Schizosaccharomyces pombe: one gene and its partner. The protein of the gene in region 1 interacts with the protein of each later gene in a pairwise test. Each region holds a gene or a part of one and is shown in the gene's direction. Other genes may lie near its edges. The genes, in order: ssm4 and jnm1.

Region 1 (16,233 bases):
GATGCCAATCCTGAATTAAGCTTGCTCTTGGATTACAATCTTGCACGTTGTGAAGAAGAATTGGGTAACACTTCTGTAGCTAGTGAAGCGTATGTTTCGATTCTCGAAAAACATCCATCTTTTATTGATGCCCGTATTCGCAAATGTTTACTTCAGTTATCCAATCCTAACGAGGAAACGTTTAAAGAAATTCGTCATATCATGAACGCAGATTCTCAAAATTTAGAGGTTCGAGCATTTTTTGGTTGGTATTTGAGTAAACAAAAGCGTCGCCCAGTAGAAGATCCTGAAGTTAGACACTGCTCTCAGACCCTTAGACATTGGCACGATGACATTTACTCCCTAGTTCAACTCGGTAATGCCTATATGAGACAGGCAAGAGAGTTTCGTGTACATAATGATCGTGAAAAGTTAAAAAGGCAAAAACTTTACATCAAAGCTATTCAGTCTTATGATCAAGCTATTAAATTTGATCCAAAAAACGCACACGCTGCCCAGGGTATTGCCATTATATTAGCACAAAACAGGCAATTTTCTAAAGCTCTACTTATTTTGAGTAAGGTTCGTGAAGCAATTAAGGATGCTACAACACTCATAAACATTGGCAATTGCCTTGCAGAACTCAAACAGTTCAGTCGTGCTATTGAGGTATTTGAAACCGTGTATTCTAGTACCGGAGAAAGTGATACTTATGGTGTATTGAGCTGTTTAGGCCGAGTTTGGCTACAGCGTGGTCGCGAAAGCAAAAACGTCGACTATTTAAAAGAATCCGTGCGATATGCTACATTAGCTTTAGAAAAAAATCCCGAGAATCCAAGCCTTTTATTTAACGTTGCCTTTGTACAATTCCAGCTATGTGAGCTCATCCGTCAGAAACCCGAGAACAGTAGAACTGTTGAGGATCTGAACTTTGCAATGCAACAGCTTGACGCATCGATTGAAACTTTTACCAAACTGGTGTCTGTCGAACATCCACCCTATTCTCCTACCAGTATTGAACAACGTGCAAAGATGGCTAAAAATACTACTAAGCGTCAATTGGAGCGCGCTATTCAAGCGCAAATCGAATATGAGAAGAGTGTTGCTGCCAAACTTGAAGATGCTAGGATTCAAAGGGAAAAGGAGAAGGCTCGAAGATTGGCAGAGGAAGAAGCTTTACTTAAGGAAAAGCAAGAACGTGAGAGGCAACTTCAGGAAGAGCGACAAAAGATGCAAGAAGAAGTTTTGGAGTGGAGAAAGAGTCAGCAGAAGGCTTCTGAAGATGATATGAGCTTGTCTGATGACGAAGAAAAACAGTCAGGCAAGAAGAAAAAGAAAGATCGAAAAAAGCGTAAATCTAAATCGAAACAGGAATCCTCGGATAGCGGAGTAAGCGAAGATGATGAAATACCATTGAGCGATGCCAGAAATAAAACTAAAAAACGTCGTGTTAATAGAAGAGTCATATCCGAAGAGTATACTTTTGACCAGGATAGTGACGCGGAGGGAAATCAAGAAGAGGAGGTTTCTCGTACTATCGAAGAAAAGCAGGATAACGATATCACAGACAATCAAGATGACAATAAAGAGTTAAATCTATTCTCTGAAGAGGATGAAGAATAATAATTATGCTCATTGCTGTTTGAATTATGCCGTTCAGATAAGAATTTTCTTATTTCAATGGCATATTAACTTTCTCCCTTCAGTTATTTGTTGTCTGTCATATATATGATTTATGATCTCGTGTAATAATATCATTTAAATTAATTTTTTGTATACAAAAGCTCTTGTCATTCATTTACGCTTTTTAGACTAGATTTGTTTTTTTCTATCCACCCTTTCAAAAAGAACTAATAGGTTTATTCACCCAAGAATCGTTTCATTCTACTTAAATAACATTAACATGCGTGTTAAAAGTGATTTGAACATTGGTGATTAACATGCTCAACTGTGCAACATAGTGATGATTTTAGCGCGCCTGTATTGCAAACATTGTTCCCCCCTCCCCACACTAATCTCACAGTTTCTAACCATTTTATCAAGTACTTTCTGAGCCTTTCTTTTTTTTCAAATGAGTTATTTGTCCGTCGGGGATGAAGTCCTCATCCGTGGAGAATTAGGAATAGTTCGATTTGCCGGTAGTACTGATTTTGAAAGTGGTATTTGGTTAGGCGTAGAATTGTTAAATGGAAAAGGAAAAAATGATGGAAGCGTAAAAGGGAAACGATATTTTTCATGTGAGAAAGGAAAAGGGATATTTGTACGCGCATGCTCTTCGAATGTGATGAAAAGACCAAGTGTCGTCAAGTCAAGGAAAAAAGGATCAGAAAACATATCAAATTTTATGGAAAAAACTAAAGCAATTAAACAAAAATCACGTAGGGAGCCCTCAAAATTTGAAAGATCATTGGCACGCCCATTGTGCATTACACCTATTGATTCGTCTACTCCCACAAAGACAGCTACGTTTTATACTTCATCTACAACTGAAAATCTAGATGAGCTAAATTTTTCAACAGAAGAATTATCAAGTTTTGACACTACTTTGTTAAACTCAGATACGAGCAAATTGTCTGGGCTTGACGATAGTAGTTTTATGGAAGAGGAATTTGTATGGCAAGTTGACAACGTTTTGCAGGAATGTGAAAAAAAATTTACTCCTCATTCAAAGGGAAGTTATTTAAAAGAGAATTTAAAGTCAGAATTAAGGAAGGGTCGTTTGGATGAATTGATGTGTGAAAATACCGCCTTAAAAGAAAAAATTGATAAATTAAATAAGGAATTAGAGAAAGTTGAACCTCAGTTGACATTCCTTCGCAGTAAAAACAGTATTGAAAAACCTCGGAATTTTAGGCGTGAAAAGTTTCTCAAAAAATTCTTGGCTATGCAGAAAGAAATAAAGTATCTAAGAAAGCGAAAGTTGCAAATTCGAAAGATTCCTAATTATAAGTACTCTGATCGAAGTTTGAATTCCAAAACTCCTAAAAGCCAGGACAACTGGACTACACAAGTTACACCATCTAGTCTCCTTGGGGTCTCAGAGGTTTCTAAGGTTTTGCAATTAAAACAGGTTCAGGTCGACATAACTGAGCTTGTAAAAATTCCTAAAAACCCGTTTTCTGAGAAATTGACAATATCTAACGTGAATAGATACTTAAATATTGTACCGGGAAGTTTGGATTTACAATTTTCATTAACAAATGAAAATTTTGTACATTGGAATAGCACAGTTTATCAAGAATTATTAAACTTAAAGTCCAACAACTCTTCAGTGGATGGTGTGAAGACAAGAAGGCAACTGTTGGAGGAAAATGCTTTGTTGTCTCATAAAGTATTAAAACTAACAGAAGAAATTCAAGACTTGGAAACTTTGAATCAGCTAAACACTGAAATAGAAGCAAGACAATCGGAAAAGTTAAATGAGGTGCAAGAGGAAACTCAAAGGCTATCTCAGTTACTAATATCTTCTCAACCTGCTTTGACAGAAGTTAAACATTTGAAACTATGCTTATCAGACTCTCAAGAGGAATTATTGCAATTAAATGCAAAACTTGAGAAAGCAAATATTGTAATAGACGAGTTAAACAGTGCAAAATTGAAACTATCAAAACAAGTGGAGGAGGAAAGTAGTATGAAAGACGACCTTACAGAAATGAACCAACGTTTAAAAGAACAAATTGAATCATACGAGAATGAAGTTAACTCTGAAATCACTTCTAGAACATTGAAAGAATTTGAAACATTAAAGACACAGTATGAGAAAAATCTTTGTAATTTAAGAGAACAGCTAAAGACCGCAAGGATGAAACTGGCCGATAAATATCCACAAGGTGACAATACTAGTGAAAATATAGACTGGCTCAAACACAGTTTACGGGATTCTAATACTGAAAACTCAATTCCAAGCCCATTGACCTTTGCCTGCAAGGAGATAAGAAAATTAGTTGCAGATATTAAACCCGTTTCAGTAGAAAAGCAGCTGGCCTTGAATTGGAAAAAAGATATCGAGCGACCCAGTTTTCATCACAATCAACAGCTATTTAATTATTGTCAGTTAACAGACATTCTTTCCAAAAAATGCTAATCTTTTAATGAGATATATAATTCAATTTATTAATAGCCGCCGAAAATTAGCTTCTAATCTTAACTGCCATATTTTAACGAATTTATCATTAATGTACTGTATGGTGTTGCTTTAAGTTTAAGATCGACTTGTAACCTCTTTTGTGACCTGTTATGCATTAACGAAATATGGGGTTGAGTATTTGATTGGTTCATGTTTGTATTAAACTAACGTACTTTTGGCCAATTAGATCGACTTTGAAGATTAATTGTCGACGTGAGAATCATGTAAATAAACAAGTTTACTTACCCTAAACCAACCACTTTAAGAGTGGGAAACTGCTTGTTTCACATTGCACGGTAGCGATATTATTTTTTTTTGTTACCTTTTTTCTATTAAAGCGTATCAAGCGTTTCTTCACCTTCTTGCAGAGAAAGGGTTAGAAAATGGAAATCGACCAAAACCTTTTCCAGTTTCCCATTTCGACTCGTGATGCTGTTCACGAGAAAAATTGTACTTTAAGAGTTAAATCTACAAAAAAAAGAAGAAGCTCTACGAAAGATGAAGAAACGCGTGGTATGCATCCCCATATAAAGAGTTCGTTTAGGAACGGAATGAACCATGCACGTGTCATTAGGGAAGAAGATATGGAAGTAGTATTTGAACCATGTTTCATTAATCTTTCCAAACCCGTTTACGTTGTAAATGGTATCGGTGGAATAAATGAAATTCATAAATTACCTATACTATTCTCTTCATTTGTTCTCTGTTTCTTTGGTAATGTCAGCGGTGATTATGGTTATGTTGACAACGTCCCACTTCACATATCTGTCATTAGTCACTTTTATCCATGTCTGCAATCCTACAACACAGATGTGATTGGTATCACTACTGATACGGTTGAAAATATATGTCAATGGAAAGCCCATCTGCCTCGTGCTCTACAATTTTCATTACCAGTTATTTCGGATTCTAACAATGAAATTTGTAGAGAGATGGGAATGCTGCATCCTCTTGGAGGAGCAAAATTAGCTTTGGATGCAATTGTAATTATAGATTCCATAGGGCGTCGACGCGACATCCTTCCCATTCGTACTACCACTTGTGTATCTACTTTAATAACAGCAGTTCAAGAAACTGTTCGATTTTTGGCAATTGAAAATGGAAGGTTGCTTTAAAAGCCTTCTATGATGATCACTCGTTCAAAAAAAAAATGACAAACAAAAATTTTTTTACGTTTCAGCAAAAGTTGATGATATTGTCACACATAAAACCACAAAACATGGGTTCAATGGAATAGAAAATACTTTCTATAAATACATATATATATATTTAATATTTCACAAAATAAATTACAATGTACCATAAATTATGCTGTCAAAAATTTACGATAAGGTACGGATGGGTATTTATTAAATTTTTCAAAAAAAAAAAAAAAAAAAGTGTAAGGAATAATTTATTAAACTATGATATCTTTAACAAAAAAAATCAATGAACCAATAAATTAAATAAATAAAAAAGTCAACTCTGATTATCAAATTATAAACATCACCGATATCAATTTCAATCAGTCAATAAATAATTTGGCATATTCTTTTTGAAGCATTTACTTTTTCAGAACAAAGCCAAGCTGATAGATTTTAGTTTAAATTCCTCTATTCAAATAAAAATGACAGTGCAGGCTTCTATAGTATTATTTTGTTCAAACAAAAGTAATCAAAATTTGAGTAATAAAAAAAATGCAAAAATTAAAAATAATCAAATATTCTCTCCCTCCGGGATTCGAACCCGGGCTGCAAGCGTGACAGGCTTGTGTACTACCCCTATACTAAAGGAGATCGTTGTAAACTAATCTTTATAATTATATATATTTAAGAAATATAATTATATGATATAATTACAGTTGGTTTATTCTTGTGTAAACCTACCAAAATTAATTTTGGACATTTGAAGCATAAAAATATTGAAACTATTAGTCTTCTAGATGTTGGTTTATAATATTTTTATCGAAATCGTTCAAACAATTTCATGCTAGTGAATTGAGATCTTAGTTGCAAAAGTGTCAGTAAATCAAACTATATCAGGAATTGCTTAATAGAATAACCATGCTTAGTAGATAAATCAATGTAAAGGATAAAATAGCTCTGACGTCAATGCTATAAGCGCGCTTTTTCACGCCCTCGTTTTTTCATCCCAACCGAGCATAACAGAACATATACGGAATAGTGAAGCATACCAGTTCAATTAATAACGAGGTAGTGCGTCTGCTGCAGCGCAGCAGCTTGGGGTTCGCTACTCTAAACTAGATTTCATCGGTATTTGGATAAAGCACAGCCACCTAGCGATTTTGGCTTAATCACAGCATGAATCAACTTCCAAGACAGCAATTGTTAATTTACTATATATAGTCATGTAAAAAGAAAACGAAAGAAAGAAAATACACAATTGTAAGTAAAGAAACACAATCATCATCCTTTGCTACGAGAGACGCGTTTTAAATCAAACGGGAGACAGCTGGTCAAAGGGTTTTCTGTTTAGAGAAACATGAGAAAGCCGTATTATTGAAGGAGGAGCTATTTTTAATTTAGTTTTAAAAATTTCTTTGAACATTTGCTTTCTAAGTTAAATACCAACGGGAGATTCGAATGATACCAGCCTTTGTTTGGATTTCTTTCAAAACAAATTCAGTTTCCTTGTTTTTTGTTCAAGCTCGTTAAATTTACACAGTCATTCACCTTGGATTACCGTATTAACAATAAAGAATCCCTACAAAGTCTTTATTCATATCTATCGTGCGTTGATGCATTTCATTATTGAAAATCAGGATTTTCTAATTTGAAGGTGAAAATGCATCATCAACCCCACCCAATAACACCGATGATCACATGCCGGTGCGCAGCAGATATCCGGAGTTTTCGGAGTCTTGTGCGGAGTCTTTGCGGCCGGTGTCAAGCGTACACGGAATGAAGGAATTTTTCCGAATACTCCGACTATGATGACCGAAAGGTGATTAAATCATCGGTATATGCAATTTACCTTACGAAACATCGTACTAATCCATTAGATAATTAAGAAGCTAAGGAAAAAGTTGTACGGGAAAAAATCCTAGTTGTTAAATTTCTCAATTTCCCTCTGTTCAAATCTGTTTTCCCACACTACTGTGAAAACATTGCGCTAGCTTTCAAAGTTATTCACATGTCGATGAAGCTTACGCAAAAGTACTTGTATGACATCTTGTGCGGTTCGCTAGCCTCTAATAAGCGTTTAAAGTGATCACGTTAAAAAACCGCCTTTAAAATGTAAACGGAACGTGGGTACTGTCTGTATGGTGGAAGTGCGACCAATATTACCTCTGCATCGCCAACAGTCGGACTTTCTTGTATGCGCTGACCATTTATTATGTAAATCATTCACCTCGCCTTAAAAATATATTACTACTCCTCATTTTAATTACCGTGTATGATTCTACATGCAATTTTTGTTTCTGCGCTTTTCCCTACACATGACAAAAGTTTTCATGACTGCGGATCATGAGTTACGTTTTACCGAAGTAAATTCTTGATATTGTCGAACTTAAGTTTGGAAAATTTTTGATATATAAAGAGATGAAAATCCTTTTAATATCGCCAACAAATCTAATTGCATTCATTTGTAATAATCTTCGAAGCCTTACTAAACAAAGTAAATAAGTCTTCATCAATTCCCTTTAATCTCTCATTATAATTATTATTATTATATTAACAAAACCTCCATATCTTTGCGAGGACTTTTTGGTTTATAAAAAACAGTTAATTAATTGGCATCTATTCATTGAAAATCTTGGATTTTTATTACACGCACCATGAAGTTTTCTTCGATTCCCATTGCTTCCACATTACTCTCTTTGCTCGTTGCCTCCAGTGTGACAGCTTCCCCATTGCGTAGACGCGATGACCCTTTGAACGGCAGACAATTTGGTCTTTTGGCTCTTCACTCCGGCAATGAATACGTCCATTTGCACGGATTTTATGTTGGAGATTCTGGTTCTGTTTACTTGGACCCCGCTGATGGCACTGATGACGCTGCCACCTTTACTATGTCTAATGGACAACTATCTGTTGGTAATCGCTATGCTTCCGTGAGCGCCAATGGTGAAATAGTTTTCAAATCTGATACTAATTCTACTTCTTCTGGATTCAGTGTCGGTGAGGCTATTAGTTCCGGATATAGCTTAAAATATAATGGAACTGAATCCGCCGTTGCTTGTCCTTCTCTCGTCAATAACCAGGTTTATCAGGTATTCTTTGGAGTTGGAAACGGTAACCCTAGTTGTGTAGGTATTGCTGTTTTGGCTGTTTTGCCTCAACCCATCTCTTCATCTTCCACTTATAATAGTACTACCTCTTCCTATCATAATTCTACCTCTACTCCACCTCCTACTATCACTTCCACTAAGGCCTCTACCGTTACATCTACCGAAGCCACCACTGTTACGACCACCACAGCTGTCACCGTTACGGCTACTGAAACCTACACAGTAACAGCCACGAACGGAGGCTCCACTATCACTTCCACCGGAGCTTCCACTGTTACATCCACTCAGCCCTCTACCGTTACTTCTACCCAACGTAAAAACACTGCCACTACTACTAAAACTACCACATATGTTGGACCCAGTCCTTCTGCTTCTAGCGTCGTTGCTTATACCACCAAGTGTATTGTTGTCCCTGTTATCACCACTGCCGCTAGCCAAAGTGAAGCTGCAACTCCATCACCTTCTGCTGCTGTATATCCTTTGTTCCCCCATGGCATTCGTTTAATTGATTCGACTAAGCCTGAAGCTAACTCCGGTAATGTTTACTCACCCGTCGTCTTTCAGAAGCAAAACAATCATACCAACACGATTTTCACATTTGATGTTCCTCAAGTTTCCGGTAGTTGCGAACTTAACTTCCATCTCGATACTAGCGGTTTCCCCATCACTGTTGAAGGTGTTAATGGCACTGGCCGATTCATTCTCTTCAACCTCTCCTCCGTTGCCAACGATTCTACTGTCTACTCCAACCGTCCCAACCGCATTGCCGAAATTGGACGTTTCAACTGCTCTAGCTCTGGTTGCGATTATGCTACCAATGTTACATGCCCCGACTCTTATACTGCGGTCTCTTATGAAATGATGGCTCTCACTGATGACTCTTATTTGAGTTTCTTTGAAGAAGCCGATCCTCTTGAGGGATTAACTTTACGAGTTTAAAGTATTATGAACTCCAGCTTGCATTGTTTAGTTTACTTAATTAATATTAAATCTTTAAACCCTTGTCTCTCCATTTTTTTCTTGTGCTTGTTTCCGGCATAGCAGAGTCTAGTATTTGATAGACAGGTTGTATTGTAGGCGAGACTTTAGCGATGCTTGTTTTATGATTGATATAATGCCTTAAAATTAGAAATGCTACAACTCTAATATGTCAGCAACTTTACGCTGTGTTGCAAATCACTAATTTTATATGTTAAAATACTAGTTGAGATCCGCTTATCGATAATAACGGAAGACCTGTTTCTATTACTAAAATACCCGTTTAATTAGATATTAGACAGAACTACTGTAAGTAGAGCTCAAACTTTTCTTGTATGTCAGTTCCGGCATGAGGCAGTTATAAGTAGAGACATAATGTAACAATAATGATAGTATCTGTTACTCGTACATTTTACATATCGCTTGCTATACATGAGTAAATTTCAAAAAAAACTCATCTCTAACCTACCGTTTGCTGCCTTTTTTAAGGATTTGAGAAATGCAGTAAGAGTTTTCTTTGCCGATTCATAATATTACAATAAGCAAATAAATGAGGGAGTAGCTTGCTATATGTATTCTAATATATAAGTTAAATTGTTACCTATCACTAAAATAACTTATAACTGAGCTTCATACTTCAAATTTAGTCATAGTTCTCAGTTCTATTTACAACTTACCTAGTAATTTTGTTAACGATTTTTCAATGCACATAGAATTTTGATAATCTGCAATTACCGGTTCGGGGATCTAATTAATATTTACCATATGTCATTAGTAGTACGTAGTTGTTAGCTACGCAGTTTAGTATTTATTTAACGACACATTGAACTACAGTTAGTTATATATTAGAACATTAGTTAAGATCCGTTTATTAATAATTGTAGCTATTTATTCATCTATCCACATAAATTTCACATTCATAGCTGCTATTAGAAAGATTATAAATAGAGCTACAACTGAATCTCGTTCCTCAGTTTCACTTACTAGCTAGCTATATCTGTGACTGCTTCTAGTAGACTCATTAAAACAATGAATATAACACTGTTATTTAAACATACCGCATACCCCTACATCAAGTTGCAAGAAGCCATATAGGAACACATAACGCAGCTCAGTAAATTGACCGCAATATGGGATAACATAGAGTAGTGCAGTATTATCAATATTACCGCAATTTACCGTTAGTTCTCGATAAACTACCGGAAGTGGTTTCTTATAATGTTGTATGCAGGGATTTAGTGAATATTACGTAGAGTATTATTTTAAAAAGGTTTCAGCAACTGTACCAGAATAGCTAGGCTGAATACCAATTTGGGAAAATTCACTTGACTGGGTTTCTAATCATAAACATACGGTTAATTGTATCAATAGAAGTTATGATTAATATTTTTCCGTAAATACCCTTGGAATTGTATGACATATATTGATTTGCTAAGTAAAGCAATAAGTAGCGTACTGCAATTTTGCCGATATGAAAAACTGCACATGTTTATTACATAATTACTGCCATTCGGAAGCGCCGTGTAAAGCGGATTATTTGAACCGGGTTTTTTTCATAGAATATTCTTAAATTTTATCGAACTAAAATTCTAGAATAATGTTCATTATTATAAATATAAGCACGATGCTTGGCAAATAATTGTTGGTAACACTTAAAGAAATATCTGATACGAAAAAAGGAATTCTTACTTTGGTTGACAATAAGTGATTAATCTTCTTCAGTTTGATCAATCTTATTGCAATATCTAGAAATTCCTCCAATTTTTTAGTTATTATTAAAAGTTTCAATTAAAAAAAAAAACATTCATTTGCTTTGACTTTCTTGCATTTTTGTTTAACTTACGTTATGAAGCTTACTTCAATCCCCATTGCTTCCACATTGCTCTCTTTGCTCGCTGCCTCGGGCACATTAGCTTCACCGTTGCATAAGCGTGATGACCCTTTGAACAACAAGCAATTTGGCCTAATGTCTATTCATTCTGGCAACAGTTATGTCCACTTGCACCCTTTCTATGTAGGAGACTCTGGCGCTATTTACCTGGATCCTACTGATGGTACCAGTACTAGTGCTGTCTTTTCTATGAGTAACGGAAGACTGGTTGTCGGAAATCTTTACGCTTCGGTTGACAGCAATGGCACCACTATTTTCAAATCTGATGCTAATGCAGCTTCCACTAAGTTCAGTGCTGGTGATGCTACTAATGTTGGATACAATCTTCTATATAATGGAACCCAATCTGCGGTAGCTTGTCCTGCTAGTGATAATGATCAGGTCTACCAAGTATACTTCGGAGCCGGAAATGGTAACCCCAATTGTGCAGGTATTGCTATTGAGGCCTTCGTGTCTCCATCCTCTTCTTCTTCTTCTTCTAGTTCAGCTGCTACTTCAACTTCAACTCGCGTTTCATCGTCTGCTAAAGCAAGCACTTCTAGTGGGGCAATTGCTTACACCACCAAATGTGTTGTTGTTCCTGTTACAGCATCGGCTACTGCCACGGCAAAAGCTGCATCCGCAGCAGCTTCCTCAGCTGTTTACCCTCTTTTCCCACATGGAATTCGTTTGATCGATTCTGCTAACCCCAGTTCCAACTCCGGTAATGTTTACTCTCCAGTCGTCTTTCAGAAGCAAAACAATCATACCAACACGATTTTCACATTTGATGTTCCTCAAGTTTCCGGCAGTTGCGAACTCAACCTACATCTCGATACTAGCGGTTTCCCCATCACTGTTGAAGGTGTTAATGGCACTGGCCGATTCATTCTCTTCAACCTCTCCTCCGTTGCCAACGATTCTACTGTCTACTCCAACCGTCCCAACCGCATTGCCGAAATTGGACGTTTCAACTGCTCTAGCTCTGGTTGCGATTATGCTACCAATGTTACATGCCCCGACTCTTATACTGCGGTCTCTTATGAAATGATGGCTCTCACTGATGACTCTTATTTGAGTTTCTTTGAAGAAGCCGATCCTCTTGAGGGATTAACTTTACGAGTTTAAAGTATTATGAACTCCAGCTTGCATTGTTTAGTTTACTTAATTAATATTAAATCTTTAAACCCTTGTCTCTCCATTTTTTTCTTGTGCTTGTTTCCGGCATAGCAGAGTCTAGTATTTGATAGACAGGTTGTATTGTAGGCGAGACTTTAGCGATGCTTGTTTTATGATTGATATAATGCCTTAAAATTAGAAATGCTACAACTCTAATATGTCAGCAACTTTACGCTGTGTTGCAAATCACTAATTTTATATGTTAAAATACTAGTTGAGATCCGCTTATCGATAATAACGGAAGACCTGTTTCTATTACTAAAATACCCGTTTAATTAGATATTAGACAGAACTACTGTAAGTAGAGCTCAAACTTTTCTTGTATGTCAGTTCCGGCATGAGGCAGTTATAAGTAGAGACATAATGTAACAATAATGATAGTATCTGTTACTCGTACATTTTACATATCGCTTGCTATACATGAGTAAATTTCAAAAAAAACTCATCTCTAACCTACCGTTTGCTGCCTTTTTTAAGGATTTGAGAAATGCAGTAAGAGTTTTCTTTGCCGATTCATAATATTACAATAAGCAAATAAATGAGGGAGTAGCTTGCTATATGTATTCTAATATATAAGTTAAATTGTTACCTATCACTAAAATAACTTATAACTGAGCTTCATACTTCAAATTTAGTCATAGTTCTCAGTTCTATTTACAACTTACCTAGTAATTTTGTTAACGATTTTTCAATGCACATAGAATTTTGATAATCTGCAATTACCGGTTCGGGGATCTAATTAATATTTACCATATGTCATTAGTAGTACGTAGTTGTTAGCTACGCAGTTTAGTATTTATTTAACGACACATTGAACTACAGTTAGTTATATATTAGAACATTAGTTAAGATCCGTTTATTAATAATTGTAGCTATTTATTCATCTATCCACATAAATTTCACATTCATAGCTGCTATTAGAAAGATTATAAATAGAGCTACAACTGAATCTCGTTCCTCAGTTTCACTTACTAGCTAGCTATATCTGTGACTGCTTCTAGTAGACTCATTAAAACAATGAATATAACACTGTTATTTAAACATACCGCATACCCCTACATCAAGTTGCAAGAAGCCATATAGGAACACATAACGCAGCTCAGTAAATTGACCGCAATATGGGATAACATAGAGTAGTGCAGTATTATCAATATTACCGCAATTTACCGTTAGTTCTCGATAAACTACCGGAAGTGGTTTCTTATAATGTTGTATGCAGGGATTTAGTGAATATTACGTAGAGTATTATTTTAAAAAGGTTTCAGCAACTGTACCAGAATAGCTAGGCTGAATACCAATTTGGGAAAATTCACTTGACTGGGTTTCTAATCATAAACATACGGTTAATTGTATCAATAGAAGTTATGATTAATATTTTTCCGTAAATACCCTTGGAATTGTATGACATATATTGATTTGCTAAGTAAAGCAATAAGTAGCGTACTGCAATTTTGCCGATATGAAAAACTGCACATGTTTATTACATAATTACTGCCATTCGGAAGCGCCGTGTAAAGCGGATTATTTGAACCGGGTTTTTTTCATAGAATATTCTTAAATTTTATCGAACTAAAATTCTAGAATAATGTTCATTATTATAAATATAAGCACGATGCTTGGCAAATAATTGTTGGTAACACTTAAAGAAATATCTGATACGAAAAAAGGAATTCTTACTTTGGTTGACAATAAGTGATTAATCTTCTTCAGTTTGATCAATCTTATTGCAATATCTAGAAATTCCTCCAATTTTTTAGTTATTATTAAAAGTTTCAATTAAAAAAAAAAACATTCATTTGCTTTGACTTTCTTGCATTTTTGTTTAACTTACGTTATGAAGCTTACTTCAATCCCCATTGCTTCCACATTGCTCTCTTTGCTCGCTGCCTCGGGCACATTAGCTTCACCGTTGCATAAGCGTGATGACCCTTTGAACAACAAGCAATTTGGCCTAATGTCTATTCATTCTGGCAACAGTTATGTCCACTTGCACCCTTTCTATGTAGGAGACTCTGGCGCTATTTACCTGGATCCTACTGATGGTACCAGTACTAGTGCTGTCTTTTCTATGAGTAACGGAAGACTGGTTGTCGGAAATCTTTACGCTTCGGTTGACAGCAATGGCACCACTATTTTCAAATCTGATGCTAATGCAGCTTCCACTAAGTTCAGTGCTGGTGATGCTACTAATGTTGGATACAATCTTCTATATAATGGAACCCAATCTGCGGTAGCTTGTCCTGCTAGTGATAATGATCAGGTCTACCAAGTATACTTCGGAGCCGGAAATGGTAACCCCAATTGTGCAGGTATTGCTATTGAGGCCTTCGTGTCTCCATCCTCTTCTTCTTCTTCTTCTAGTTCAGCTGCTACTTCAACTTCAACTCGCGTTTCATCGTCTGCTAAAGCAAGCACTTCTAGTGGGGCAATTGCTTACACCACCAAATGTGTTGTTGTTCCTGTTACAGCATCGGCTACTGCCACGGCAAAAGCTGCATCCGCAGCAGCTTCCTCAGCTGTTTACCCTCTTTTCCCACATGGAATTCGTTTGATCGATTCTGCTAACCCCAGTTCCAACTCCGGTAATGTTTACTCTCCAGTCGTCTTTCAGAAGCAAAACAATCATACCAACACGATTTTCACATTTGATGTTCCTCAAGTTTCCGGCAGTTGCGAACTCAACCTACATCTCGATACTAGCGGTTTCCCAATCACTGTTGAAGGCAGCAATGGTGTTGGTCAATTCATTCTTTTCAACCTCTCCTCCGTCGCCAACGATTCTACTGTTTACTCCAACCGTCCAAACCGCATTGCCGAAATTGGACGTTTCAACTGCTCTAGCTCTGGTTGCGATTATGCTACCAACGTTACATGCCCCAACTCATACACCGCGGTTTCTTATGAAATGATGGCTCTCACTGATGACTCTTATTTGAGTTTCTTCGAAGAAGCCGATCCTCTTGAGGGATTAACTTTACGAGTTTAAATTTAACTTATTGAGAAATCAAGAAGCATTATCTAGTTTAACTTCATTAGCATTTAAATTCATTACTTTTCTTTCCTTTATGAGTAATAATTTCCAGTAATCTTTGGGTAGACGCTATTGTTAAATGGAAAAATCTATTCAAGGGCCACCGATTATGTTGTACCATTTACCTAAGTAGACTCAGTGTATGCTGTATTTATTTTTGCTCACCTAATGTACCTTTAATATTTTTCTATATATTACCACTAATTATACGGCATTCGAAAGCGTTATTTGTACGAGCAAATTTGCGTTTTTTAACCAAGCAACCGCCGATAAAGGCGATATAGCAAAAAAAATTTACGTACTCAAAAATATGACTGATAAAACTGATATTATAAATTTCGATAGTTTAGCAAGGGATTATCCCGACTTGAGATCTTTGTAGGGCGTTCTCAATGCCAATTTATATACTAATTGAACGTAGCGTCAAAAATGGTCGCATTGATTTTTGGAACGAAGATGCTATTCGGTTGGTAAACTCACATATGTTAAACGATTGCTTACCTATAAATTAGTACGTTAGGAAAAGCAATTCTGGATCGGGATTATTCTCTTCGTGTTGAATTTCCTGAGAATCGTCTATGTCCAATGGTAAGAGATGTGTAGCATCACCAATGTTTCTTTTAAACAAACATTTCCCTTCTCTCATAAATGCTAATTCATTTAAAGGTTCCAAACCGGTATATTAACACATTGTTTATTCATCATTTATAACCAACTTTTCAGAGCCACTTATATAAGATATATTCATGACCTGTTGTCAAGTACATCTGGGCAAAAGGATAAAAAAAGAATCATTGGTTTGGATATTGGTACCGGCGCTAGTTGTATATACCCATTAT
Region 2 (15,340 bases), on another chromosome or scaffold:
GGTTTTTATCTTTGTGTTTACCCATTCATATCAGGTGTACTCAATGGTTGCCATCGGAAGGGGTTCCTTTTCAACATGGTACGTAGTTTCCTTTTTATTCTCACTCGTCTTTGAAGAAGGATTGGAACAATCTGCATATACATCATTTTTATTGGTATTGTGTTTTGGCTTGGGAATCACGAAGCCTGCTTTAGTGAAGTACTATGTTTACCTAGCCTTTGTAGCCTTCGTTCAAGGTTTGTTTGTCACGTTTGCACCCCTCTCCTATCCCGTGATGTCCTTTTATGGGGTTCGAGGAATCCTCCTCAAGCTAATTTGGAATATCTATACTTTTGTTTACTATGGATTGCCATTCTTTGCAGTTTACCGACTGTACAAGCAGGCTGGTGAATCAAGGAAACTTGGATTTGAGGCCAAGTACTCTCTTTTGAGGACTTGCTATATTGCATTAGCTGCTGTGACCGTAAGTAATTGCCTATTTTTGGGAGTTGTTCGTCCCTTACTTGGCAGTCAACTTTCACTTGGCTTCCAACTGATAACTTCCTGCATCACGTTTGTTGACTTCTTGGTTTTTGCTTTTCTCTTTGATTGCTCAAAATTTGTCTTCCTAAAATATCAGCCGATCCCCTTTGAATGGTATGCACTGGAATCGATGGAATCCCTTAACCTTGAACCAGCGCCCGATCGTAAAGTGTAAAAAAGCTTTTTGATAATCAGTTTTATATTAGGTCGAGAAAACGGTAGCTGTGTGCGAAAATTTAATCCTTGAAAAATGGTTACTTAATATTTTTTATTTTACTTTTGTGGTGACAGTTCTTACATTTTCTTGATTTTCTTAATTGCACATTCCCATGAGACGCCATTTCTTGATTTTAATACTTGTCTTTTTAAATTGCTTTTTTCAATTACTATATCTTTATCCAGATTTTTTACACTATATACTCTTTCATGCTATTATAACTTTACAAATACTTCCATCCTTTATATTTTTTGCTAACACAATCCCATTTTCTATACATATAAATACGATTCAGCTATATTGAATTCGTACAACTACCTCCTTGATGATTTTTGCTACATTTTTTCTACTTTATGCCTTTTTTGATGATGATTTTGAATATATTGACACTTTGCTAAATAATTAAACAAGCTTCTCTTGATATCCTGCATCCATTTCAAATAGTATCACTTGAAATGTTACATAATTTTAACCATGAGCATCAGCAAGAAGCGACAATGTTTCTAATGCACATACCATTTATCGATTTAGTAATGAGAAAAGTTAAGTTTGTTAAATAGCGATAGAACACTAAACGACAGTAAAGATAATTGCATGCACTCTGTGTTATTATGGAATACCCTATATATCAGTATACCAATCACGCAATCGGGTTGAACTGTTGAATAGTTTCTGGCATGTATTTGTTTCTCTCTACCTTTTACCAAAACGGAAGTTGGAATGGAAGTTCGTATGTATGTCTGAAAACGTAGCTGTTTCATTCCGTTTAAACTAAGACTTCCTTAAGCCAAATAAGCAGTAAATGCTCAAACATATGAAATATTCTTTAAACCCCTAAAAAAAGAAGATCTAATACGTAAACCTTGTGTTCTCTTACTACATTCAGACACGCATTTTTAAATTTGATGAAATTAATGTGTTTGTGAGCAAACTATAGTCATGTGAATGTACGGAGATGATATGGCACGATGATTGTGGACGTAGGTATCCAATATTGTGTGGGAAGTAAATTCAAAAAGGGGCGTCTAGGGGAATGATTAAACGTTTAAACCACGTACAGGAAATCGGAACACTGTATAGGATGTTAACTGTTTTGAGTATCACTAGTTCTGAAACTTGCAAGGAGAATATGTTTATTAGATGATACAGATGTCGTTCAAGATGTTAAAGCTTTAAATCTTTGCTTATGATTAGCTCTATGTCACCCCTGTATTTTGCTTGTGGTTCGTATGATTCTGTACAGCTCATCGATGAAGGGTAGTGGAGTCTTGTAGATATTGGGTACTACTGACGATAGTATCCCGAAGCAGTTTTGACCTTTCGACGGCAATTGTAGTTTGCATCAATAGCGATTCGAGTGGATGGATCGCCTATTATTGTGAGTTGTTTATTAGATGATGTACAGTTCGCATTAAAGATAGGCGGTATGTGTCGTGAAATGTGCGGAAGTTTGTGGAATTTCATGTTTAAAGGGGTTCTCAAGGGTTAGTCGAGAAGTCGTATTTCTTGCTAATATTTCATCAAACGGGCTAGATGTGACAACTGTTCGTTATCGTATGTTTGTCTTTCTCACTATATTGATGTGTTATCAAACTTACTGGTAACTTAGTTGTTGGCGTTACCTAAACATATTGCCATATTGCAGTAGACGTTTGTGTTATTAGCTGAATTTTTCAAATGTTTACATCGTTTACTCGTTCAGTACCCAGTGGTTAGCTATAAAAGTTATTTTGCTAGCCTCATCTGACTAAACAGAGGAAAAACGCTATATTACATTTGTCTATCGATTCGTATACGTTTCCATCAGTAAAATCGAGCATATAATCGGCAGCATAAAAATCGCAAAAGGGGTCAGGGATATTGGTCGTTCTCGCTCGTCTAATGTTATCTGTTTATTGTAGCGATTATCAAACATTTTTTACAATTAGGAAGCTTCAAAAAGTACATAAATGACCATCTACTGCCTGATAATCATTGTTAGTTTGTTTGCCAATTTCTAGGTCTTAATACTCGTCCTAAAAATTTAATTTTGCAACATCTGTTTTTGTACACCTTTTATTGAATTTTGGTATCACTGTTTCTTATTAAGAAGAAAAGATTTGTTCTTCGCTTCATATCTGTATCTACTATACTCTCATATTGCCTATTTTATCTTCCTAAATTTTATCTTCCATGACCATCACTATGCCCAGCGATTGTAAATATTCTGTCGATACCGAATTGGTACATGTTGAAGGCAATGAAGACCAGTATCATGCGTCTTCAGTCCCAATTTATCAATCAGCTACCTTTAAACAGCCATGCTTAGAGCATATGGGCAAATTTGATTACACTCGTTCCGGTAATCCTACTCGCTCTGTTCTTCAAGTGCACTTGGCTAAACTTATGAAGGCGAAACATGCTTTTGTAACTAGCAATGGTATGTCCGCTTTAGACATGATTTTACGCTGCTGCAAGTCTAATAGCCATGTCGTTGCTGGCCACGATCTATATGGTGGCTCTGATCGCTTACTCTCTTTTAACCAAAGGCAATATGGATTTAAAGTGGATAACGTTGATACTTCTGACTTGGCAGCCTTTGAGGCAGCTTTGCGCCCAGACACAAACTTGGTTTTGATTGAAAGTCCTACTAATCCCCGTATCAGCATTTGTGATATTCGGGCTATTGTTAAAATAACTCGTTCAAAAGCCAAGGATGCCTTATTGGTAATGGACAATACTATGCTTTCTCCTGTCCTTTGTAACCCTTTGGACTTTGGTTATGATATAGTTTACGAGTCGGCCACAAAGTATCTCTCAGGTCATCACGATTTAATGGGTGGTGTCATTGCCACAAAAAGCGATGAGATTGCTAAATCTGTGTTTTTTAACATCAACGCAATGGGTGCTGCTATGGCTCCCTTCGAATGTTTCCTTCTGTTGCGCGGTATTAAAACGATGGGATTGCGTGTTGAACGTGCACAGCAGAATGCAATAGAAATTGCCAAATTCTTAAAGAGCAAGGGACTTCAGGTCAACTTCCCTGGATTAGACCCTGACGCTAAGTCAACCGCAATCTTTTACTCCTTTGCACGTGGACCAGGTGCTGTAATGTCTGTTTTTACTGGCGACGTTGAAGTCTCTAAAACTATTGTAAACACTACTAAGCTCTTTGAAATATCGGTTTCGTTTGGTGCTGTTAACTCTTTGATCAGTATGCCCGCTTATATGAGTCATGCTTCTATCAAGAAGGAGGTTCGAGACGCTCGGGGATTGAGTGAAGATTTGATTCGCATCTGTGTCGGCATCGAAAACGTCGATGATCTCAAGGCTGACCTCGAAAATGCCCTTGCTCAAGCAAATTTTAAACAGAATTGATTTCGTCTATGAAGGCATAGTGGTATTCACAACTAAGCTGGAGAAAGGGTTGCTTAAGTTACTAGTTGTGGTGCATATAGAATTTTAAATCATCAAATATTAAAATGATCGAAGTTTTGCTTAAAAACATCGCTTCATCCCTACTTACATATGTGTAAATTTTAATGGAAAATATTATTGAGATATTGACCGTATATAAATTATAATTAGTAATTGGCATTAGCCTACGCTTCCTAAGATGAAGCAAAAGCATTTTGAGTAACATTAGTCCTCGAATTACTAGGGATGATCCAAGTCTACAAAGAAACCAATCCAAACGTTTGAAATGTACTTTGAAATAGAAGATAAATTAATGTGTTAATGAATGTCATAAAAAACGTGAGAAACCCTGTTTGAAACGCCTATTTCAGGTACTTACTGGCATAGTACGGAAAACCAATAGAGAAGGAAATACACACAACAGCGGAGATAATTCGAGAAATAGGATGTTTTTTGTATTTAAGTTCTCTGGTTGGTGGAAGAAAACTCTTTAGATTTGAAATACCAAAACCTTTACCGTCATCCTGCATGTCATTTTGTGCCTGAAATACGAAACTATTTCTTTTTATTGATGGTTTGGTAGTGTTTTCACCGGGCAACATCCAATTTATTTTTTCACTGTGCAATTCAATGTCACGAACGTTTCCAAAGAAGTCCGTTATTAAAATGTCATCCGGGCTTCTTCGTAAGTTGATGGGTTGGACACCAGGTGTAGAATGAATTTCATACGGATTATAGGAGTTGATCAAATCCTGCATAGTCAATTTGCTTTTACTATCAACCCTATTTTCTAAGAATTCCAAATTAGAAAAGGTGAAGCGATCGATCACTGCAACTCCAATATCGATATCAGCATGATGGGAATAAGAAGAAGTTCCCACTTCACTGCTACCAATTGCCAAGACGTTTGGCGAATAGATTTTTGTATACAAAGAATTTGCCTGGCATGTATCTACCATAAATAGGATTTCATTGTATCTCTTGTGTTGATGTATTTGCTCAATTGCATCAGCAAGGTCCTCAGAACTCAATTCTTCAGCATCTTGAAATTTAATAAAACCATCGCCTCCATGACCTGTCATATAAATTAGGATATTAGATCTTTCGTTTGTCAATAATCGTTTGCTGGCTGGTGTATTTTCAGGGACTCTCTCTGTCAACAATCTGATAAACGCTTCAACAGTAACTTCATAGCCCTTATAATCAATTTCAATTTCTTCTCCATACAAATCTAATGCTCTATCTGCATTATCAAAAACTGTTCCTGGAAACAAATTTCGAGAGTTGCAAGCGTAGTCGTCAGCTATCATCAATATAATTTGACTGTCTGGGATTCCAAGACGCTTGACTGATCTGTATATTCCTAAAACATTCGCAGTATGTCTGTAGTTGAACCAAAAACGCGAGGTAGAAATTAAGACGGCCCAATTATTTGTATGCGAACTTTCTGCAGCTATTATTTGCAGCAAATTGAGCAGCAAAAGTGCCACAAACTGAACAATCATTAAGAATGCTACTCTTCAGTTGTTGAAATTAAATAAACATAAAGCCGTTTAGTAGTATCACGTTTATACAACTTTGTGACAAAGCGTAATGTTTGAGCACGATATTAGCATGTAAAGTTTTTACACGTTAATTCAGTAAACGATTCCTGCAAATAATTCAAAAAAAAATTATCAAGCCCTTTTATTGGTATATGCAGATGTAAAGTTCGACTTTGTTGTGCTTACTCGCTTACCTACTATGGTGCTCCCTTGCTAACCTGCACTTGCTTGCGACTAGAACTGTATTTTATCGAAGTAATAGTGCTCACTATAAAACATCAAGAAATTTATTCTATAAGAAAACACCTATTATTTAAGGAACTGAAACCAAATAAAACCCCTAAACCATCGATTACTCCCGAAAAATATCAAACGTGTAAGCATATGATCTGAGATACGCCTTTAAGCAATTTCGTTTACTGATAGTAATTAAAAAAGATGAAAGAAATGATTAATCTAGACAGCTCCTCTGAACCCAGCATCGTTACAAAACAATTCTCTGTAGAAGAATGCTTGAGTAAACTTAAAGAGCAACATTGCTATGTACCGATGAGAACAATTGGTCGACTAAGACTCAGGAAATCTTCCGATCAAACTGAAAAAAAATGTTGGAAAGAGAAACTAATGAAAATTCGCAGCGAACTTGAAGAATTATGGGAGCAGTCGATGATGTACGAAGAACAGAAGGAACTTACTCAATTAGGGGAAATGTTGGATAGATTGTGGGATAAACACATAAACAGTGAAGGGTCAAAGTCAGAAACTATCAGTGACACTGCCATTAGTGGTAATGATGATACTATGGAAAAGAGACTTGAACAATTTTCAGATGACACTTTGCAAGATACCCTGGAAACGGAAAAAAATCTTAACAGTAAAACTTCTGAGTCCTTGAAGTCACCAACTCTCTCATATCCGTTCGATTTGGATAGCCTTGACAAACGGATATTCAAACTAGAATCAAAAATAGGGTATGCTGATGAACCGCTTAGCGAGCTTTTAAACAAATGTATGGAAAAACTTGAAATTGTTGAGCAGGATCCTCAATTTTGGCAATCCCGAATTGAATCATGGAAGCAATTACTTGCTAAAGATTTTTTGAAACACCATGAAAGAAATCTTTGTTCAATAGAGAAACAAACGACTTTAAAAAACTCTTCGTTAAAGGAATTGTGTACGGAAGAAGATATTGTTATCATGTTAGAGATTTGTTCTTCCCAACTTCCCTTCGTTGAACAGTATATGCCCATATTACCATTGTTGTTAGAACGGCTAAAGTCTTTACAGAATATGCACACCGATGCGGCTGAAGCAATTAGCAGTTGGCAGGGTTCAAAAGATGTAATGATGACTATGCAGTCTGAGTTGAACGAATGGAAAAATACAGTTGAACGCCTTGATCATTCAAAATTTTACACACAAAGCGTAGAAGAGATGAGGAGATTATCTGACACTGTCACACAGCTTGAAAAACGCGTTTTAAAATTGCAATAGGATAGTGCTATTGAATTTTTACGCTGCATTTCTTTGTTCTGAAGTTTTTGGACGTAAGTCTTGAACGTTAAGGAATGAGAGTAAACAAAAATTTCCTAATTTCCTATATCAAAGAAAAATTTATTTGCGATAGTATCAGAAGCTTCGTACAATTTCTGTTTTTGTTACTATATGCGTTTCATCGAGTATGCAAATAATTACATTTATTTCAGGAATATTGAAACCTAATTACTTCACAAAAAGCAATATACTTTTCACTAACCTTTGCTTCTTGTTCAAATACAGAATTGTCATAGATTTATTTGAAGTAGCTAGTTGCGTTCTACCGACCACCAGAAATTACCATTCGGTTCGCTTTCATGTAGCAGGATGCGAATTTTGGGTTCCTTACCAAATAATATAAGAAAATGTACATTTAAGTTAATTCTACAAAAACGATATTCCCATACCGACATACTTAAGGAACTACTGTACGATATAAGTGATTCACAGAAATTTATACCTTCGGCATCTCCCATCGCGTCTAACTTATTACGGGTATCTTCTTATGGAAAATTATCCTCCTTGTTTATTGAATATTCTAAAGCACGTTCAAAAAAAGAGTTTGACCAACTCAGAACTTCGGATTTTCAATCAATATTACGGTCCGTTGTTTGTCCCAAAAATGGAAAAAACATCCGACATCGTGATCGTGATTTAGTTTCTTTACAAATTAAGCTAATCCTTCAAGATGCTGATCGTTTGGGAATTCAATTTAACATTGTTGACTATACCCATATTTTACGGGTTGCAATGTATACTGGGAACAAGCATATACTTGAATATATAGTAGCAAGAGTAAAGGAGAAAAGAATCCGCCCAAGTGTCGATTACTTTAATGCAATTCTCGGTGTAATTGGGGGAAACAGATGGTCGCTTTCTAAATTCCAGAGTCCTGCTTTTAGAGGATCACCGGTAACGGAACCTGTCTCTGGTAAAATGCTTGATATGATTGAAGTCGATTTTCCAAATTACGATTTGGTACCTAATTCTACTACATATGATTATCTGATGGTGGGTTTATCTCGAGATGGAAAGATTCGAGAGATTTACGATCTTATAGATACCGTTTGGGGGATAAACGAAAATTCATCTAGTAAAAAAGTTGACTGTGGAAACGTTACATTTCCTACACATCATACAGTATTTTCAATCATTTCTGCATTAGGATATTTAGGTGATGTCTCAAGTGCAGTATCTCTGTCAAGGAAGCTTACTTCTGTTTATAAAATTAATTTTCCTGAGTTAGCCTGGCGCTACATAATATATTGGTCCATTGCATCTTTACAATTTAGAGCTCCAGCTGGTCATGCACGAATAAAAAATATTGAGCTTTTCATTCGTTTGTACTCTCAAATGTATAGGCATTGTGTTCCAATAATTGAGATATACGATACATCAATTAAATTTTATATGAAGCATGGGCGATTCGGGTTGCTAGAAAAAGTCTGTGAGAGTTGGACTAAACAATTTCTAGGATCATTGGAAAAGCAAAACAACGAAGTCAAGAAAAAACATTTACAACTTCTCGAAAAGCAAATATCGAAATTGATGAGATATGCAGAAACTGAACGACCTCATGATACTAAACGAGTTTCGGTTAAGTGGTCAAACGTGTTGAACCAAATTCATTCATCCGTAGGAGATCCTGCTAAACCTTGATGATCTATCCATTCACACTGTACATTCCTTATTAAAAATTTATCCCTTCTTTTTTCTTATATTTATTTCTCTGCTTCTGGAATTTGAGCAAATCCGTAAATAACGGTGTCTAATGTCATTTAGTAAGTCTAAAAGTGTCTAGGCATGCATTTTCTTTAAAGGTTTTAGAGGACTATCGAAAATTGGTTCTAATCGCAAGTTAGGGAATGTTGATGTTAAAAGTTCTGGTTTTTTGTTATGACGAATAATATGTTATCCTTTGACAAATATTATATCGATATTAATTAATGTGCCCTTTTTAGTAATCAAAGAACTCCAGAATTGTTGTACTTGTTAAGTTACTTAAAAAAAATTTAAGTAAAATTTTTTTGCTAGCATCTTAAAAAACTAAAGATTCAATGTCTTGTTGTGCATCACAATTTCTGAGTACATAACTACTGATGCTTGAGGGCTCTAATTTTCAAGCTAAATCAATAAATTTGTAAAGACTATTAAGGTCGTCATGATTTTTTAAGACTCTTAACACTATTTAATTGCCTACCGACGCATTAAAATGCTCTTTCGTGAACTAACAAAGACTTGGGTCTTTTTTGTTCAAATAAGCTACACTTCAAATGCTAGTTTTTTAAGAAAATTTATGGAGATTCTACTTTCAAAATTATTTATCTTGCAGATTTAGAATGTTCGAATTAGGCAGATTAGTTATATTCAATGCATAGGATGAATCATAAAAGTTGCTTCACTTTGATATTATTTAATATAGCTTCATTTGTTTGAGTTCGATATATTAAGATACAGATTGCTCTTTTTTATCATATTAACAAAGGTTGAAAAGAGGTCTTGATTGTAATGGTTTAAAATTTAAAATAACTAACATATGTAATTTTCCATACATCAAACATGTTTTACCTTAGGGGTTGCTATATTTAGTTTACCCAATTCAACTATATGCTTTATCTCAAATTTAATAAAATCGATGATGATTATTATGCTAACTGCCACAAGCGGTTAGAAGAGATATGACTCAAATATCGCAAGTGTAAAATGGACATTTAGGAGTTTTTGCTGACTTGATAAAAATATTCATACGAGTAAACAAAGGACTGGCACGCCTACATAATGTTGAGACGAGTGATTAATATGGTTTGGTTAATTAGGTGTATTATGAATGAAAGAAGTACTGAAAGTGAAATAGAGAAGCAACTGAAATTCACAGCTTTCTCTTTAAGAACGAACGAAAAAATGACAAAAAAGCTAAAAGAAACATATAAGTGCAGCAGAAAGCTGTCCATCCCTAAAATTACGGGTAAAGAATATTAAGGAAAAGGGGATCTAGGCGTTCTCTCTCGACTAGCAGTAAACGAAAGTCTGTCTGCGAGAACATGGCTTGAAGTGGTACGTATCGGGGGTCCATGCCACTTAGAGGGACTGCTCATTTCTAAATCATCAGAAAAATCTGCTATATCCTCATAACTTCCATTTGCAGACATAATGTACGGAGCCTTGCGACGTTGCAAGCGCAGAAGGAATTTTTTGAAACGTTGGCGCCTTTTCGGATCATACCCGAACAAAACCAAAGAGAACAGAAAGAATAAGCAGAAAATAAATGAAAGAATAAAGAACAATTTATTAGGAAATAACCTCATCCAATGTTTTGAAGGGGATGCGATTAGCTTTCCGTATGGGTCCATATAATAATTAGCATATTCCGGTTTTGCTAGAAGTTGCTGATTTGATGCATAAAGCAATACTTGGCCTAAGGTCCAGCTCACTTCGGTGCGTTCTATTTTTTCTAAACTCGTGAATGGAGAATGGTACGCAGGAATTACCGAGAGCCCATCCTTTGCATCATTACTACTTGTATTTGACTTGGGAACGTCGAATCCTTCATGAAGGACATTCAACGCCCATGATGCTTTAAAACAAAGCTTTTCAAGCTTGTTTTCATCAGTACTTGGAGTCAGCTCTTTATTATAAAGACGGGAAAGCATGGTTTCCCACTCTGTACCACAATACTCGTCAACTTTTTTGTAAAAATTAGGGAAATGATAGCTACCGCCCATATCAAACACATCATTAGTCGTATACCAAAATTCCGAGACCCCAACAAATTCAGTATTTGCAAAATCAACAGGAGGAATAGATATTCCATCAAAGTTACAAGGGTCCATGGAGCATGGCTTGTCTTTATTTAATAGATTGTAAGTCAGTTTCAAGCATTGTTTCAAATCTCCAGTACCGGCAAATTCGATCCCATCGATATCATAAGTTCGTCCACGCAAGGAACACGGATCGCTTAAAGTGTTGCCAACTTTTCCGTTTTCGCTTTCTATTAACAGTCCCAAATACCTGCGGTAAGCTTCATTAGCGCCAAAACCGAGCCAGGTAGTAACAAACAAAGGATATTCCAATTGCTGACCATTTTGTAGTCCTATGTGAACGGTCGAAATACTATCCTTGTAATTTTTGAGCTGAGATGGGGGAAGTTCAAAAGCAATTTGCACACTCGCACCGCCCATATCTAAAAAACCAACCGTTGACGTATCTTTTTCTTCAAGTGTCTTAAGGAGATAGTTCGTAGCTAGCCAACCATACATACCTTCAGCTTTGCCATCAATTACACGGATTGAATTTGAGCAATTAGGTATGTCGAAATCGTAATTCTTTTTAATATATCTACAAGCATGCGAAAGTATTTTGTTTTGGGCATCAACGCCCAGTAAACGCATACCAGCTGTAGCACTTAGGAAAACCGGAGTTTCTTTATGTACATCTTTGGGAATAGCATGAGCAGCAAAATCCAGGAGTTCTTTCAAATGCTTCTTCCCTACATGCTTAGGGTTATTGGCAAAGGAAGAAATTCCAGGTTGAACCTTTAAAGACCATTTACCACCATCCCCAATCCCTGTCTCGATTAATGGTAATTTTTTTACTTTATCACTTAAAGAGGAATCGGTATCATAGTCCCAAGAATAAATTAGAAGTCTTGAACCACTAGATCCAGCGTCGATGAAAATTCCATACTTTCGAACCATTTTTAGCCACCTGCACTTATTTTTCTTAACAAAATGTCTCTTTGTCTATAAGACTGGATATTAAATAACTTCGACTCTGAAGATGGATATTTTCATCAAACCAGCCCAATTTGCCTTTTGTTTGTTGATGGTTGAAAGCGCACTATGGCGATGTGAACAATTTCAATATGGCATATGTTCCCAAGATATACATCAATAAAATTCAGTTAAATATATGTATCTGTCTTATCAATGAACCTCTATTTAACTTAATTGAAACATTGAATGAACGTTTGTAGTGGATTATGAACATTCAACTCAATGTTTAACAACTAGCGAATGTATAGGTAGCACATTTTTAGGTGGTAAATCACTATATAGTGAACTCTGTCAAAATGCAAAAAAAGTAAATTGAGACGAATTTAAGGACCCATTCATACGGACTATTGGAATAATCACATTAATTTTGGTCACTTGACTTAAAAGATAATGCGACTAGAATTAAAGAGAAAAATCGAATACGCGAAAACTTTTTGATTTGTCTCTTTAATTTGCTTAGATGTCAAATACTGTTAGTACCAACAGATTGACAATGTTTTGATAACAATCATCAACAATTTACTTCAGAACTGTTTTAATAGAGAAAATAATTGTATCCTTCAAATTTCAACGGTTTAACACTGTTTAAGATTTAAAATGTCATTTACTTACAAGTATTTCATGCACTTTGCTTTAAGATCACAGTAACGGTTCTTCGTAGAGATATTTGACGGCTTTCAGTTCGCATTCTATATTAACTTGTGTTTTAAAGTTTTGATTGAGAGAACGTTTATCCCATTTGACGAACATTTAGATAATTGATCAGTTATCTAGACGGGAGAAATGAAAAATATTTAAACTCGTATGAACAATAAATAACACAAATGCAATGCATCCAAAAAAAATTATAAAATCCATTTACAAACCATAACCATATCACATAACACGAAAACGAGTAGAATTTTAATCCAATTCAATACTCAGAAACTTAGAGGTTTTTTAATTGTCTAAAAATCCAAAGATTTAACAGGCTGTTTTTGAGGATTCGTGTTTGAAATCTTCGTATCCTTTTGCTCATCATCCAGTGGAGGAAGGACCCATGGTTCAATGGTAAATCTTCTTTTCGATACAGTAAATGAGAGGTCTCCAGCTTCATTAGAGTTTGCATGATTGGTAAATGGAAGTGCTAAGGGAAGCTTATGGATACGGAAAAGTCCTAATGGTTGTGTAACTAAACCGTTAACAGTTTCTTTGACCGGGAAAGGATGCAAAGAGAATACGGCGGATGCAAGGTTTTCTAGCCAAAAAATTTGCTCGCAATCTCTTGAAAACAAAGTAGAAGGAACTGAACACATACATATCAAGTGCACCGAAGTAGTGCATTTGATGAGCGATGAAAGTGTGTGAATAAATCTTATGAAATGCTGCGGATGAGTAGCACGGATAGAATAGAAGGCTGGGGACAAAATGGATGGAAGAACTAACCTGCATACCGTACCTGGAGTCAGAGTAGATAAGAATCTCGTTAGACTTTCAATGACAGGGGCGTAAGGATTAGACCCTGTTTCCAAAGGGAATGGAGAAACAGCGTATTTCATATCGCTTTTCACTATCAAATTCTTTGACAAATCAAAGGAGTGAGTATAGCCAGGAGGAATCATATCAAGGGTCGGTGCCTTGGTTTTGGAGACTTGTTCATACCTCCAGGCAATTTTCATTCTTTCTTGCTGGGGATTTTTAGAGGGAGGAGAAGAATGATTATCCTCTCCAGCTGAATTTTCGTTTTTATTAGGCCGGTCGCTGTCGCCTGGAAGTTGACGAAACCACATCTCTCCAATAGATGGACCAAGCCAAATAACATGGTCCTGTTTAAGGCCTTCCGCTGCAAAAAATTTAAGTAGCACAGAAGCATAATCCATCGAATCTTCCTCTATAACCAGCAAACTTTTCATTGGAATGCCGCCAGACAAATAGTAGTCAAAAGAAGAACTCCCAGAGCTTGTAATCCATCTAGCATCCTTTGAAGATAGTCTAACGCCTGTCGGCAAGTTTGTTGGTGCTATTTGAGGTGCTGCTTTCCTTTTGAACGACATCAATACTTATTTCGATTGGTGTACGTGGAATAGCAAATTGGATGGAAAGGTTAACGCGACGCAAATTTGCAGCACACATTTAAGCATCATCAGTCAGAAAACAAAGAAATTCAGCGTTGCGATTGAGAAAATAAAAAATTGTTGACTAAAGTTAATCATTCAATAAAAATACCTTTTAGATAAATTTTGTTGAACTAATAATAAAATTTCACTAGTGGGCGCATTGAAACAAAAATAATATTGTAATACTACAAAATAACATAGAAAATGTTACGTCGTACAGTCAATTAGCATGATCGGAAAATGTATTACTGTTGTATTTTTGAAGATTACTTTCAATCCGAATCTAGTTGGACAAGACTTATGAGAAATTTAAGTCAACTCAAAGTACAATCTATTCATATTTTATTTTTAAGATCAGGAGAATCTGATTGCTAAAGATACAATTTAATTAGCTCTTCGCTTACCCCACTCTTCGAATCAATGATCCCTAAATCGGTAATGAGACCTGAGACAAATTCGGGTGGTGTAACATCCAAAGTAGGATTATTTCGAATTTGTTCTTCATTCATGATCAGCTCGTTATGAATAGCATCTGATGGAGTTGGAATTGGTTCAGGTTCAGGATGAACAGTTTCAGGAGATGGATCATCAAATTCCAGAATAGGACGACTAAAGGGAATATCATATTGAGAAAGGGGAAACATACGCACGAATTTATGACTAAAAAACGTTAGTACAAATTTTAAAATTAACAGGGAAATGGAGAGATCATAGGGAAAAATAATTGTAAGCTGAATGGATTCAACGTTTACGTACCTTTCTGCAACTGCGTAAAAGGGCTTATGTGCATGTTTGGCAAAAACGGCAAGTTGGAAAGTACCGATTTGATTAATGAGTCCTCCGTTTTCGACAACACCTTCTGCGCCAACCAAGACCAAATCTACACGGTTCATAGTAAAGCTTACAGCGGAATCCAAAACCATGCAAGTAGGAATACAAGCATTTTTTAATGTTCTCGTCATTAGACAGCCTGAGCCGCTAGGTCTTGATTCTGTGACAAAAACTTTGAAACGAACGTGACGCTTGGCAGCAGCCAAAAGAACAGCCGCAACACCGCGTGAAAACCCATGGGTAAGAATAACACTACCATCTCGAATAAGAGGGTAACCTAAATGTGCAATTCTTTGTCGACAAGCACGAGCACGCTGAATAAAGAGTTTTCCATTTTCTACCAAGTGACGTTTGCATTGCTCAAAATCCTAAAGCCGTGGAGAATTAGTAAAGAAAAGAAAACTACTTTGCATCAACACATACCCC

Evidence for each region.
Region 2: the proteins of ssm4 (region 1) and jnm1 interact in a two-hybrid assay, tested with the Schizosaccharomyces pombe proteins (one study listed by BioGRID).

What each region holds. Positions count from the first base shown.
Region 1 is NC_003424.3:4,522,504-4,538,736, reverse strand, and holds ssm4 (dynactin microtubule-binding subunit, p150-Glued Ssm4), read left to right. Parts: upstream 1-2,000; 5' UTR 2,001-2,050; coding exon 2,051-4,063; downstream 4,064-16,233. Other genes in the region: RNA polymerase II-associated Paf1 complex subunit Tpr1, read left to right, coding at 1-1,602; thioredoxin family protein But1, read left to right, coding at 4,489-5,220; SPOM_SPAC27D7.11C (But2 family protein ), read left to right, coding at 7,884-9,275; SPOM_SPAC27D7.09C (But2 family protein ), read left to right, coding at 14,198-15,349; methyltransferase Mtl16, read left to right, coding at 15,787-15,860, 15,907-15,982, 16,061-16,071, 16,118-16,233. UniProt on the Schizosaccharomyces pombe protein: Binds to nuclear microtubules with the effect of either modifying their structure or function. This then promotes meiotic nuclear division.
Region 2 is NC_003421.2:1,450,319-1,465,658, forward strand, and holds jnm1 (dynactin complex subunit dynamitin), read left to right. Parts: upstream 1-5,894; 5' UTR 5,895-6,117; coding exon 6,118-7,173; 3' UTR 7,174-7,537; downstream 7,538-15,340. Other genes in the region: SPOM_SPCC61.05 (uncharacterized protein), read left to right, coding at 1-697; cbl1 (cystathionine beta-lyase), read left to right, coding at 2,924-4,096; gpi8 (pig-K), read right to left, coding at 4,498-5,640; PPR-repeat protein ppr6, read left to right, coding at 7,543-8,874; nucleoside diphosphatase Ynd1, read right to left, coding at 10,191-11,909; elongator complex subunit Elp4, read right to left, coding at 12,935-14,020; translation initiation factor eIF2B alpha subunit Gcn3, read right to left, coding at 14,455-14,743, 14,840-15,282, 15,338-15,340. UniProt on the Schizosaccharomyces pombe protein: Required for correct meiotic chromosome segregation.